Linked DNA regions of Alligator mississippiensis. The protein of the gene in region 1 interacts with the protein of each later gene in a biochemical or structural test. Links are inferred from orthologs where the notes say so. Each region holds a gene or a part of one and is shown on either strand. Other genes may lie near its edges.

Region 1 (7,619 bases):
TCTGGAAGATGCAGAGACAGGAGCCTCTGAGGCCCGGCCAGTTGGTATCTGGGGACAGTAGCTCCTTGTGCCAGGTGGACTGCTGAATCAGCCCTGACCTAGAGTGGTTAGGGCTGCACCCTAACTACCCAAGGGTTAGGGATGCACCCTCTACCCACTGCAGTAGTCTGGCAGTGGGGGCTGCTGCCTGGCTGTGACCTGGTGCTACCTGCAACAGCATCCGCCCCCTTGGACCTGCTGCCCCATGGCTGCACACCTGCCAGACCCAGACAGGGACCCCCTGGCCGACTGGGCTGTGATATGGGCACTGTAGCAGAGTTGCCTGCACCTCTGGGCCAGCTACCAAGAGTGATGCTATTTAATTTCCTGTAGGCCACATGCACCATGTACTGGCCCCACTTAAAAATCTTAGAGGACTTTTTCAGGCCTTGTCCCATCTTCAGTTTGCCTCAATTCTAGGGCAGAACTAGAACTCTGCAAGAATGAGCACGAGAGGCAGGCAGGAGTGGGACACATCCTAACATCATCTTTGATATTCACTTCCAGGTCTTATGATGTCAGTGGCATTATAATATGCACACATATCGCTGCCAGAATGAAACTCTGACAAACGCTTAATTCGGGGGAACATGCAGATTTAGAATTCAGAGACATTCATTGACATGCACAGCAGAGCTATCTCTGTTGCACCCAGAAAAACTTAATTAAATTATTATGTTTATCAGGCTGCTCTCTGCCTCACAGTCAATATTGTTTGAGAGTCAGGGTCATGTTATGAAATGTGCTTCCTAGCAAGTTGTGCAGCAATCGTGCAGTTCCAGTATCTTCTATCAGGTACTGATGATTTTAAAAAATCCATTTTCTTTAGAATAGTATAACCAAAAAAAGACACCTGAACAGCTCAGACTGTTACTTGAAAGACCTGCCACAAAAATCCAATAAAGTGTAGCCAAAAAAACCCAATTCAGTCATAATGCAAATAAGTTCATCACTGTCCCACGCACACTGAAATACATCCTTTTCCTCTTCACCTGTGACCTTGAAGAAAAGCCCTGCAGCATATCCAGAGCACCAGCCAATCCAGGCTGTTGTGGAACGGATGCAGGTGAGAGACAGGTGCATTGCTATGAAAGGGCTCTAGGAGCATGCTTTGATTAACTCCCACTGCAGCAGGATAGCTCAGCCACAGAGGTGTTCTCTCAAATGGTTATTTAGGACTATGAAGGTCAGCGCCAGCCTCAGCAACTTACCTCCACTTGCAATCTGCAGACAGCCAATGTCAGTTATGAAGCACTGATTGAATTGGCCGGTGGCAGGATGCTCCACTTACTAAACCAGCTACTATACCTCAAAGACGTTTTACTTGTATCTTTACAGTGTCAGCTAAGACAACTTTAGTTGCTGGCTAGAAGACTGCAAGGCTTACCCTCCAGTATGGACCTTGTCACTGTAACATTTCTCATCGTTGTCAAGTGGAAATGCAGGAGGCAGAAGCACAAGTCAAGCACCAAGGCTAGGAAAGCGCAGAACTGTTTCACAAGGGTGGGGATACATGGCTTAAAAGCAGACACTTAGGGACAGCTACAAACTGGAGAAGCTACAGGTAGCCAAAATTCAGTTGAAACAAGTGGGGTAGTGGGGTTATACCTTAGTGCTCAGTGACCTGCAGCCAATGGCTCAAATGGACTCGACCAGGAGTCAGGATGCTCTTGGCAGACTTTACATTGGATGCAAGCTATTGGGCCAACAGCGCTTGGTATCTTGAATGCATGGTCCTAAAATGACATTGCTTTGCTCTTCCCGAGCATTTGGGAGATGGCTCCATGTTTTCAGCAGACATCTGCAAATCAAGTGTAAAAGTTTGTTTCCAGAATGGAAACAAATTTTAATTTTCCCAGAGAATTTTGTAGAAGCCAGGACTTCCAGCAAATTTCTGAGTCTTGTTTTACTTGCAATTAACGTTTTAAATGAGTGCAATAAATTCGCTAATCTATATTTCATGTGAATTGCTGTGTTTTGCATCTGTGCCGTTATCTGTGCCCAGCTCTCATTTTCAGTTTTGTTCCTAATGATATTGGTATTTCCTATTCCTTTTCCATGTTTGATATAGAATCACAGAACTGAATAAAAGAACAAGAGCAAGTTAGGCTTACATTAGAAACCCTTTCCCATAACAGTACCCCTGCAATTTATTCCAATTTAGCTACAGCAGTTTCACATATGTGGATAGATATTTGCCTAGATTTCCATGGTAATCTTAAAGGTCTTACAAAAATTACAGTACAGGAATCAAATACGTTGTCCAGGTTAATTCCCAGATTGGAATCAAGTTAGTGCAGCAGTGGTTAAGAAACCCAACAGTATCATGTCTTTAATGGCAAAACCATGGAGAATAGATACGCTGATGTCAACCAAGCCCTCTGCTCAGGCTGTTATTATGGTCCAGATTCACTCACAAAGTGGTAGGATATCTGCTGGGGGCCTATCAGCAGAAAACAGGCACAAGGTCCTCTACAGTTGTAGAGCCTGCAGGGAGGTAGAAGAGCCACTGAACAGGGCACGCTGTTATGGAACGGCAGCTGCGTGTTGTCATGATTTATTATTTCAACCAGACACCTCTGTAGCCCCTGTATGGGACTTACAGCAGCCCTCTCCTGGCTTAAACCCCTTGGAGACAGCCTCTCCCTTCCTAGGAACATACCTGTGGCCCCAAGTGTCACCTGGTGCCAGATCTGTCTCTTTAAATCCTAGACTTTGAAGTGAGACATACAGAAGATTGAAGTTGGAATTGCATAGGAGCCACTAATACATCTCTTGCAAACTGCTACTAAATAAAGATTGCTGCAGAGACTGAGGCTACCCAGAAGAGGGCACAAGAAAGCTCCAAATGGACGGTGTTTGAGAGAGGATGTTCCTGGAGCTAGTCACAGAGCGATGCTGTGCTTAAACTTTATTCGCCGACTATCAACTTCTCACAACACTTTAAATTGACAGTTCTCATATTGATTTTTCCCTGTGTTGTTTCCCACATTTCCCTGAATGTAGCTCTACCTCTGCTGGACCCTTTGCAGTGGGGATCCAGCCTGCAGGCTGCACCTGCTGATTCAGGGCATAATGCCGTGGCGGTAGGAGAGGCAGGCTGTCTTTGGGGTTGCCCTGGTGTGGATGAAGGTTGCCCCCTCCAAGCTCAAATATCAAATCTGCTGCGACTGGCCCCCATGTATCACTCGGGTGCGAGGCAGCAATTGTGGGAAGGGAAAGAGAATGAGGTTTTGTGTTGATGCAAGACAAAAAAAAGAGCATATTTGCATGGTGCCAGGGCATGAGGAGCTATGGGAAAAGGCTGGCAACTGAACTGTTCACTGTGTTCAGACGTGGTCCGCGTTTCTGTTCAGCTACAGCACTGCATGCTGATGACATGCAGCAAACTGCATAATCTCCAGTCATTTATAGGAAACACACCAAAGACCATGAAATAGTATTGTGGCAGAGCACGACCTCCAGTGAGCCAGCTCCTTGCCACCACGGTCGCTGCCCCCATGCTATAGACACCTTAACGTGATTCCTAACAATAACAATTAATAATCCTTTATTTTAACCTTTCCATAGCACCTTCCTTCTGCGGACACAGCACACGCTGCACACATTAACTATGTGACACATGACGAGTCTCAGAAGAAAGAAGAGCTGTGTTGTCTAATGGGCAAAGTGTTGGACTGGGATCCTGGAGACCTGGGTTATATTCATGGCTCTGTCTTGGACCTGCTGGGTGACTCTAGGCAAACTGCTTGATAGATCTGCCTCAGTTTCCTGATCTGTAAAACGGGGTAAAGTACTTTGAGCTCTACCCATGAACACATATTTCACTTGCCATCTGAAGAAGGCAGTTGCTTTGTTGCTGACACTAATGTAGAGCGGTGGTTTTCAGCCTGTGGTCCAGGCACCCCCGGGGTGCACGGACCATCTCTAAGGGGTCCGCGGAAGACAGCGCTGATCAAAAAGCGCGTGGATCCCCACTGACGAGTCAAAGGGTCCGCACCCGCATTTGACATTCCCTTCAAACGCCTTGAGGGGTCTGCCAATGGAGAGAAAGAGGAGTGAAAACCACGGCGCTGGACTGAAAGAACAAGGACTGTCCTCCTTTACGACTGCACGTCCAGTCAGAGGAACGACCCGCGCTGGAGATCAGCCCGGACGCAGCGCCGGCACCGTCCGGGCGCACGACAGGCCCCGCGCGGTTTCTTGTACGTAGCAGAGGAATGACCCTGGCCCTTGGCCGCCAGCGCCTCCCCGGTCCTGGGTCACAGAAGAGCTGGGAAAAGGCACGAGAGACGCGCCGCAGCGCAACACGGGAAAAAAAAAGCAAAAAAAAAAAAAAAAAGGAAAAAAGAAAAGAAAAGAAAGCGCGCGGACCCATTTCACAGGCCCGACCACTGAGGCAGGGCGGGGGGCGGGGCGGGGTGAGGCGGGGCCCGCCTGGGGGCGGGGCGGGCCTTTCCTCCACCTCCACCTCCGCCTCCTCCCGGCTATAAATCCCTCGCGGAGGTCGCGGCGAGAAGCCTCCGGGTGCGGCGAGCGGAGCCGGGCCGGGCCGGGCCATGGCGCCAGCACCAGCCGCGGGCCCCGCCTGACCGCCCGCGCCACCCCCGCCCCGCGCCGCCCCGCCCCGCGCCGGGCGGACGGACATGTCGGTGAGCGAGCTCTACACGCAGGTGAGTCTCTGCCGCCGCCGCCCCTTCCCCGCCCGGCCCTGCACTGCCCTGCCCGGGCTCCCGGGGGCCGCCGTGCCGGGGCAGGCCGGGCCCTGAGGGGACAGCCGGCCGCCTCCCGCCTCCCTGCGACCTTTGCAACCGCTCTAGGTGCCGGCTCCCCTGCCCCCAGCCCGGGGCCAACCGCCGTCCCCTGCCCGCAGCCCACCTGCGCGGGTGACAGCCCCCCTCCCCGACTCGGTGGTCGTAGTCCGACTGCCAGGATTTCCTCAGGACCCGCCTCGGTGGAAACCGTGCGAATGGTTGCGGGGGCCGGGCCGCCCCGAGCCCGGGCGGGCGAGCGAGACGCTGCGCTCCCCGCGCGCGGGCTGTCCCTGGGCAGCGTGGGGTGTCCTTAGCGGTGTCCCAGCCGCACACAGCCACAACGGGATCTGTCCCTGTTCTAGAAACTTATCAACCGTGTCAAAGCAGCATCAAGTAAAAGGGTTAAAGTCAGCAGCACGGCTGTGCTGCGCTGATCCCGGCGTGTCTTGTGGTACGGGAGTAAAAGAAAAACCAAACTCATTCAGGGCGGCTCTCCTTAGTGTCCCAGCCGGTCACGGCACTGATGTGCTTCTGTCTCGCGCTCCTTGTGCGAGAGCCCAGATTTTAAGTGGAGACAGCGTAGGGAAGGATATCGTTTAATATTCCTGGTCCGGTGTTTTGTTGTTTTGGATTTTTTTTATTTGCATTGCTTGGTCTTTGTGTTTTTGTTTGCTAAACGTTCAAGGCAAGTGCGGCTTCACCCTGGGAGGCTGTGTGATCGGGAGTGGAGAGCGTACCCAACTGTATTATCCTGGTTTCTGCCTCCGCTCCTGTTCCTCCTCCTTCCCAGCCTTTGGTGAAGTTCCTCTGCCTCAGCGTCCGGTTGGGAATCTGAGCCATAGGTGCTGGGAGCGCCTGGGGGTAGGACTCGGAAGCTGTCGTGCAAGTGTGCGGTTGTTGATCAGTGTTAAGTGTGGCGCTCGGCTGAGCAGATCCGGTTATGCAGACTCCCTGGGGTCCAGTGCGCGCTGCAGGCCTGTGACTTGCGAAGAAAACTCTCAGCTGAAAACAGCACACAAGTAATCTTTAGAGATCCAACGAGTGTCGGCAGGGGAAAGAATATCTCTTTCTCCCCCCCCCCCCCTTTCCTTCTCCACTGTTAATTGACATGGGGAAGTTGCTAACTAAGCAAGATGCAATGAACAGAGGGAGGTCACTTTTTTCCTAAGCTCAGTCTGATCTTAGTCCTTGCTTTGCCGACTTTGGTTTTGGGGCAGTGGAGGAGAAGGAAACTGCTCCTGTTCTAGGAGGGCAGAATTTCTGCCTGCCTGAGAGAGGCAGGGGGAGAAAAGGTAGCATTGGCTGAAGGCAGATCAGTAAGACTTGTGGTCGGGACGGGGGTAGTGGCAGGTACTTACAATGGTAATACCTGCCGGTCACCGAGGTGCACACCATTCTTTACGTTGCGAGTGCGTGGGGACTACATCGGCGTGCACACTTCTCAGGTGTGTCCCAAGAGCACATGTTGCAGGGGAAACGGGACTTGCTCCTGTGTGATCTGTCCTGGCTCTTTCACATGTTCATCAAGCCCCGCTGGAGCACTGGGAAGGATATAGCTGCTAAGGAAATAAATATGTCCTATTTTTCTCTTGCATTTTTATGCTTGTTCTTTGTTGGAAGCTGCTTCCCATTTCAAATAAGAAAGGGAAGTCTTGTATGCATGGAGGACCTCTGAGCACTCCTACGGACAGGATTGTCTCTCCAAGGGCAGGGGCATGCTGCTCTAGAGAGCTCCGAGAAATCCTTCCCTACCATAAATGTCCTTTCAGACAAGGAGAAATGTGTGTCCTCACATCAGACAAAGTTTCTTTTCCAAAGAAGTGAGCAGAGCCAAATTGCATTGAGTTAGCGTGGTTTTTTTGGAGGATGGATGCTTTTTTTTTTTTTTTAAACAAGGGGCATAGACAGGCTTACAAGAAAAAAAGAGCAAGCTTTATAGATGTTACCAAGTTCACTGTAATCATTCAGGCTACGTCAACAGGAGACTTGCCTGCGTGAGACGGAATGAAAATGGTTTTAGATGGAGAATCCTGCCTTTGTTTATGGGCTTTTATTTATACCTTTTTAATAAGAATATTTCCCTAGGGTCTTTCCATCTGATTCATTTGAAATAATGTGAGGTACAGGCATAGGAGAACTGCATGCCGCTGACCTACAAATAGCTTTTGCTGGAAGGTTGTAGAAGTGCTGGCGTTTTGCTTTGATCCCAGTCGGCGTGGTGGCTCAGCAGTCACCAGTCTGGAATCATGTCTTTCGAGGAATTTGTGCCCGTCTGCCCACCCATACTTGGCTCTGAATGTTAGCAGTTTTTAGTAGTGATCCTGCCCTGAGCAGGTACTTGACCTCTTTCTTTCTATGTACGTCTTCCTCACTGTTTTTTCTCTGACTTCCATGATTTGACTGTACGGCTGGCTGTGTGGTATTGCCACGTAGAATTGTCCCAAGCTTTATGGAAATCTGTTGTAGCATAGTTTATGAACTTTTTTTTTGGTCATCGCCCTGTCGGTGCTAAATAGGTCCATGATCGCCCGAGTCTTGTACGATGAACTACGTTCACGCACGAGTTTCCTTTGGATTGTGTGAAACTATTTCCTGTAAGGAAGGACTTTCAGAGTTGAGCCCTTGAACTGGTGAAGGACTATGGACACTTTCGGCTTCGGCGCGTCACAGCTCCAATTGGAGAGAACTTTCTTTCTCTTTCTTTCAAATGTGTTGACTGTTGTAACTGCACTCCTTGAACATGCCTGAAAGCATGATTTAGTAACTTGAGCAGACCGCAAGGAAGAGATGTAAGAAATTCCCGATTAGCAGAGGACAATAATTTAA
Region 2 (6,926 bases), on another chromosome or scaffold:
GAAGAAGTAGGGGTTGTATAGCCAATAACTTCCCAACCACATCATATAAGTCGGAAACTGGAAAACAAAAATGTGGAACAGGTATAACCTCAGGTGAGGTGCTGGAGGTGTTGGGAAGCAAGACTAATATTCTGCTACAGGTTTGAGAAGGTAGAGATGTGCCAGTCTAATGCACAATAATTTCCATGGGCTCTTTCTATGTTGCTTCTTATTCACGGGACATAACAGTTTACATTAGATACATCAGTATAGTGAGAAGTGATAGCATACCATGGGGGATTGAGGATGGGAAAACTACAAAAGAGCAGGGAAAAACAAAGGTTTTAACTATATGTTAAAAATGTTCGTGGCACTTTCCCCAAGAGATAGCAAGCAATTCCTGATGTCTACCTTAAATGTCAAATGAGTAAATATAGTCGATCTAAAAATCCCCTGTAGTTATGGTTGGAGAAGGTGTTCTTCATGCTTGTTTCAGAAGTAATGCAATGTAGAATGTGTCCTTTAAACAGAATTTGTATATGGTAAAATTAATTTTAAGGAATAAGCCAACTATATGTTCCTTGCTAAAGATATAATCAAGGTTTCCAGTGAACTGCCTCACTAAGCCAAGCCTTCTGCAAAACACCATTGTCAAGTCCCTATAATGCTTCCAAAAATTATCTATCATTCCCACTTTTTATAAAGATCCTGGCTAACTCTCCCTTCCTCAGTCATGGCCATTCATCCTTCCATGATGCTATGCTCTCACTATTCCCCCCTCCCAAGCCCCAGATATTCACACACATCTGGGGCAAGAAAATTGAGGAAGCTGGAAGGGATATGAAAGAGGCAAGGGATATGCATGTGTGCTTATTTGAGAAATGGGGTGTAGGTTGTAGCCGTGTCGGTCTAAGGACATATTTGAGAACTGGTTGCCCATCCTGCACGATGAATGTACAACCTTAACTCTGACCATAACCATAGTATGTCCGTGCAAGCACACATGCAAACTTACAATGATAGTTTATGCATAAAATGCTGAATGTGTAACAATCTTTTAATACAGATCATTCATTCAGGTAAGTTTTCTCAACCTTACTAGGAAAACAATTTGCAGTCTGACACCATTTCAAAGCACATACCAACACAAAGCTACATCCATTGTAACTGATGAAAGTCACACTGCCGCTATATTAATCAGCAAAATACATGAACAAATCACCAGCCCACAGTCAAAGCTTGAGGGCTCCTGGAACTTTTTTGAGATAACTGTGACAATGCAGAAGCTGTGGGCGTAAGAAATGAAGCTAAGGTTACAAAGAGGAACTGATGACTAAAATGTGGACAAAGCATCAAATGACTTAGCTGCTGATTCCCTTGCTTGTTGTGGTTTCTTTGGTGGAATGTGCAGTACTGCAACATTAAATGTGTCATTTTTTTTATAGAATAACAGTTAATACTGTGCATTAGTCTACACCCTCTCCCAAGCTTCCAGAGATCCTTTAAAACACGTTATGTTTTAAATTATTTTTTTATTTAAAATGAAAGTTATCAAGCCAGGATGACATGCAAAAAAAAAAAAAAAAATTAAAAAAACCCTTAAGAAATGGCGTTTCTCTAAACTAACATTGCAAAACCCTTAATCACAAGATGGAAATGATTTGGAAAACTTCCTTTAAAGCAGCAGAAAGGAGTGACAAGTTTGGGGTGGCTCAGACCCTCAGATTAGCTGCATGAGCCTGTGGACAGCCAGGACCCATTCCTAAACAGACACTCAGACCCCACCGTCGAAGACTGTTTTAAAATGGGACTGACTAAGTGAAACATACTGGTACTACAGGAAGACAGAAGAGGATGATGGGAAAGAAATGGCAGACCTCAACTGGTGGAAAGGGGTCTGGCATAGACTTTTACAGGAGTAGACCCTCTTAGCAGGGTAGTGGGTGGTGGGGGTATGGGTATGCAGATGGGTACATGGGTGTGCGGTTGCACGGTGTGAACTGTGTAACAGGTTTTTAGTGTGCTTTGAGCTGCCAAGTCAACCACAAGGGCCACCTGGGAGAGCGTTGGAGGTGGAGTTATATATGTATCTATCTCTATCTAGATATCTATCTCTATTTCTATATATAGAGATAGATCTATATTTAGATCTATCTATATATTTGCAAAAAAACAAAGAGCAGACAAAAAAAAACTAGCTGCCTGAGCCTTGATATGGCCTTTTAATACAGAAGTGCAGTGACTGGGTGGGGGGGAAAGTTTCACAACAGGAGCTGCTGAAGGATGCGAACGGGGGCAAACTGGGGGAACATGTTCAGTGTCTTGTTTAACCCGTGCTGCTGGATTTTTGGTTGTAGCCATGTTGGTCCAAAGCAGCTGTTCCCAAACTCTGACAGATGGCATGCTGCAAATTTAAAACAACACAACCTTATGTACCACCAGCAAATTTTTCAGTTCAACCTTAAGTACCAGCTGCAAATATTTATCATATAAAGTAATTCTAATAAATCTGTTACCTGACCAGTGGCCTGCGTACGACTGGTTTAGGGTGGTCATCAGAGAACAGTCCGGTTGCCCTCTGTCCTCTATTGATACAAAACCAGATACCTTGATGTGTATCAATAGTGGACGGATCCTCTATTGATACGAAACCAGGCACCTTTATGTGCATCGGTAGCAGATGGATCCTCTATTGATACAAAACTAGAAGTCTTTGTGTGCATCGATAGTGGACGTTTCCTCTATTGATATGAAACTGGACGCATTTATGTGTATCAATAGAGGATATATCCTCTATTGATACGAAACCAGACGCCTTTACATGTATCGATAGCAGATGTATCCTCTATTGATATGAAACCGGGCGCCTTTACATGTATCGATAGCAGACGTATCCTCTATTGATAGGAAACCAGATGCCTTTACATGTATTGATAGCAGACGTATCCTCTATTGATAGGAAACCAGACGCTTTTAAGTTTATCGATAGCAGACGTATCCTCTATTGATAGGAAACCAAACGCTTTTACGTTTATCGATAGCAGACGTATCCTCTATTGATAGGAAACCAGACGCTTTTACGTTTATCGATAGCAGACGTATCCTCTATTGATAGGAAACCAAACGCTTTTACGTTTATCGATAGCAGACGTATCCTCTATTGATAGGAAACCAGACACCTTTACATGTATCGATAACAGGCATATCCTCTATTGATAGGAAACCAGACACCTTTACATGTATCGATAACAGGCATATCCTCTATTGATAGGAAACCAGACGCTTTTACGTGTATCGATAGCAGACATATCTTCTATCGATACAAAACTGGATGCCTTCATGTGTATCGATAGCGGACGTATCCTCCATTGATACGAACCCGGACGCCTTTATTTCCTCTATTGTTCTCTTCAAGAAAAAGAGCCATCTCTATTCTTCTCTTCATCAAACATCAAGGCATCCAGTTTCGTATCAAGAGGCCAGAATAGCAGAAAACCACGATGGCCACCCTCCCGGTGGTACCCGTGCCGCACACCGGGACACGGCCGCCGCGTGCCCCCGGCACTCGGTGACCACCGCAGACGGCGCCTTTCCGCAGGGGGTGCACGCGCAGACCCCAACACGTTGCCCATGTCCTCTACGACGCCCCCTACAGACGGGGCAGCGCGGCTGTTCAAGTTCTCGACCCTCATAAAAGATGACCCAAGAGCCCGGCTGCCACCTTGTTCCCCCCCAAGGGGTGAAGATCCCACACTGTGGGGGGAATTTTCCCCTTGCCTTGGCTGTCACCTCCCCCTCCCAGGCGGTCTCCGCAGCCCGCGAGCGCGGGGCGCCCCCTGCCACGTGCGTCCGCGCTCGCCCCGCCCCCTGCCCGCAGCCCCGCCCCCTGCCCTCTGCCCCCTGCCCCCTGCCCCTGCCCGGCGCGGCGGCCTGAGGGACTGGGAAGGCGGAAGTGGCGGCGCGGTGCGGCGCGGTGAAGCGCCGGCCCCGGCGGGCGGGCGGGCGGAGGCCTCTGCACATCATCCCCGCGGCTGCTGATTTGGGAGAACCCCCCCTCAGGGTATGAGCAGCGGCTCCTCGTCTGCTCCGGGGCCCCGGGTTTAAAGCCCCCCGCGCCGGTTTGTATTTGCCCCCCGCCCCGCGCCGGCCGAGAGGATGCTGTCCGAGCAAGCCCAGCGGTGGTTCCCCACCCACGTGCAGGTCACGGTGCTGCAAGCCAAAGCCCTGAAGCCCAAAGGCAAGAACGGCACCAACGACACGTACACCATCATCCAGCTGGGCAAGGAGAAGTACTCCACCTCGGTGGCCGAGAAGACGCTGGATCCGGTGTGGAAAGAAGAGGCCTCGTTTGAGCTGCCGGGATTACTGGTGCAAGGCAGCCCCGAGAAGTACATCCTCTGCCTGGTGGTCATGCACAGGTCGCTGGTGGGGCTGGACAAGTTTTTGGGGCAGGTGGCTATCAATTTGAACGCAATCTTTGAGGACAAGCAACGGAGGAAAACGGAGTAAGTGCCCTTTTCGTCTTGTTGGGCTGGCTCGCGTTGATCCGGCTCCGTGCCCCAAATTAAACCGAGCAGGTGCATAACGCGCTGTCCTGCCGGCGGGACCCGGGTGCGGGCGTAGCTGCCCCGAAGTCAGCGGGGCTTTCGGACATCTCCGTCCTTTAAAAAAAAAATGTTATTTTTAATATACGCTGTGAATGTTATGTTTTTAATTTTTCTCTTGCTTCTGAATAGTGCCGCTGTTATCAAGGTGGGCGGCAAAGTTTGAACCGGGGTCGCAACTCGGATTCGTTCAAACTCCGTCATGCGTGTCGCATCGCTTTGCCTAATATAATATCCGTATTGGATTCGTTCAAACTTTGTCGTGTGTCGCATCACTTTGCCTAATATAGTCTCTGTTTTGGATTCGTTCAAACTGCATCATGTGGGTCACATCAATTTGAATAAATCTAGTACAGGCGTTATATTCGGCAAGCTCCATCACGTGTGTCGCATCACTTTGCCTAATACAGTGTCTGTTTTGGATTCGTTCAAACTTTGTCGTGTGTAGCATTACTTGGCGTAATATAGTGTCCGTATTGGGTTAGTTCAAACTCCATCATGTGTGTAGCATCACTTTGAATAAATCTAGTACAGGCATTATATTAGGCAAGCTCCATCATGCATGTCACATCACTTTGCCTAATATAGTGTCTGTATTGGATTCGTTCAAACTTTGTCGTGTGTAGCATCACTTTGCCTAATATAATGTCCGTATTGGATTCGTTCAAACTCTGTCATGTGTGTCACATCACTTTGCCTAATATAGTCTCCGTTTTGGATTCGTTCAAACTCCGTCATGTGTGTCACATCACTTTGAATAAATCTAGTACGGGCATTATATTAGGCAAGCTCCATCATGCGTGTTGCATCACTTTGCCTAATGTAGTGTCCGTATTGGATTCGTTCAAACTTTGTCGTGTGTAGCATCACTTTGCCTAATATAATGTCCGTATTGGATTCGTTCAAACTCCATCATGTGTGTCGCATCACTTTGAATAAATCTAGTACGGGCATTATATTAGGCAAGCTCCATCATGCGTGTCACATCACTGCCTAATATAGTGTCTGTATTGGATTCGTTCAAACTCCATCATGTGTGTAGCATCACTTTGCCTAATATAACGTCTGTATTGGGTTTGTTCAAACTCTGTCACGTGTTTAAACTCCATCATGTTCAAACTCATATAGTGTCCATATTAACATCTGTTGCAAACAGCGTGATTCTAGTTTGTCCAAGCTTATTCATTTGGTCGTCTTTGAACTCTGGTTCAAGCTTGCCGTGGTAGCCTCGTACTTTTCTGATGCTCAGTAGATCTTGGGCCTTAATCTTGCTTGCTACTTTATGCTGCAGGCCCATGCAGAGTAACTGGTAGAGAAGTTTCTGCTCTAGCAGGAACTTCCATGAGTTTTGTTAAATCAAATTGTGATTTTTTTTTTTCCCTTAACAAATTCTGAATGCCAAATGGAAATAATGGCTCTTTTAGGTTTATAAATAGCATTTTGTGCAGTAAGGGTGCTTAATCAAGCACAGCAATGTAAAGACTGATCAACACTCAGATCTTTGTTTTGTAATACTAATTTAAATTGTGCTGTTAGGGCTCTGTGTCTTTTTTTTCCCCTTTTTTACTAATTAACTGTTATGGCCCCTAATGTGGCCACAGTTACATTGGCATAAAGGTACCAGCATAGGTTATTCCTGTGCATTTATGTTAAAAACTTGTATACGTATGCAGAGCTTTATAGCAGAGTAGCTGTCTACATTAGAGACGTATTGTTTTAACTGTACTGGCCCCAAACACAATATAGTTAAAGCTCTAAGTCACTAGTTTCTACATTTTTAGACGAGAGGAATGCCTTGTTCGACTCAAGGCACCCCTCCATAACTTCAGAATTGAGCAGCATCCCATTTCAAAACCTGGTTAGATGGGGACGAACCTGAGCCTGCACTTACCTTCTCACACCTGCTTTTCTCCTTGCGGCATCCTTCAAAAGATCTTGCTGCACCCCAAGGTGCCCTGGCACCCTGGTTGAAAATTACTGCTTTAAGTTAAAAATATGGTTTTGAAACTCTGGGCCTGCTTGCATGCTTTCTACTCCAATGAATCAATGGTAGGAGTGTGTTAGGGTGGCATGGGTACTAAGGTGCACGGTTAACAGCCCAGAGGTCTCAAGTTTGAGGCTGCCCGTAGCATGGTCTGTCTGATGCCAATGAATCTGAGTTATGCTAAATACCTTGTCACAAAGGCACAGGAAAGGAAATTTGCAAAAGCAAGGTGTAACTTTATAGATTGAATGTACTCTTTTTTTTTTTTTAACATAAACTATAACAAAAATTGTTCCTTGTCTCACTGTCTTGACTTCACAAACTGAGGTAATTAACAGGGTTTTTATGATAACTGAATT

Evidence for each region.
Region 2: the proteins of MYO5B (region 1) and RAB11FIP2 form a complex in vitro, tested with the Homo sapiens proteins (2 studies listed by BioGRID). The link is inferred for Alligator mississippiensis from reciprocal best matches to the Homo sapiens genes MYO5B and RAB11FIP2.

What each region holds. Positions count from the first base shown.
Region 1 is NC_081826.1:288,437,771-288,445,389, forward strand, and holds the start of MYO5B (unconventional myosin-Vb), read left to right. Parts: upstream 1-4,603; 5' UTR 4,604-4,685; coding exon 4,686-4,712; intron 4,713-4,917; exon of another isoform or gene 4,918-5,777; intron 5,778-7,619. UniProt on the Homo sapiens protein: May be involved in vesicular trafficking via its association with the CART complex. The CART complex is necessary for efficient transferrin receptor recycling but not for EGFR degradation.
Region 2 is NC_081829.1:88,734,243-88,741,168, forward strand, and holds the start of RAB11FIP2 (rab11 family-interacting protein 2), read left to right. Parts: upstream 1-3,905; 5' UTR 3,906-4,134; coding exon 4,135-4,484; intron 4,485-6,926. UniProt on the Homo sapiens protein: A Rab11 effector binding preferentially phosphatidylinositol 3,4,5-trisphosphate (PtdInsP3) and phosphatidic acid (PA) and acting in the regulation of the transport of vesicles from the endosomal recycling compartment (ERC) to the plasma membrane.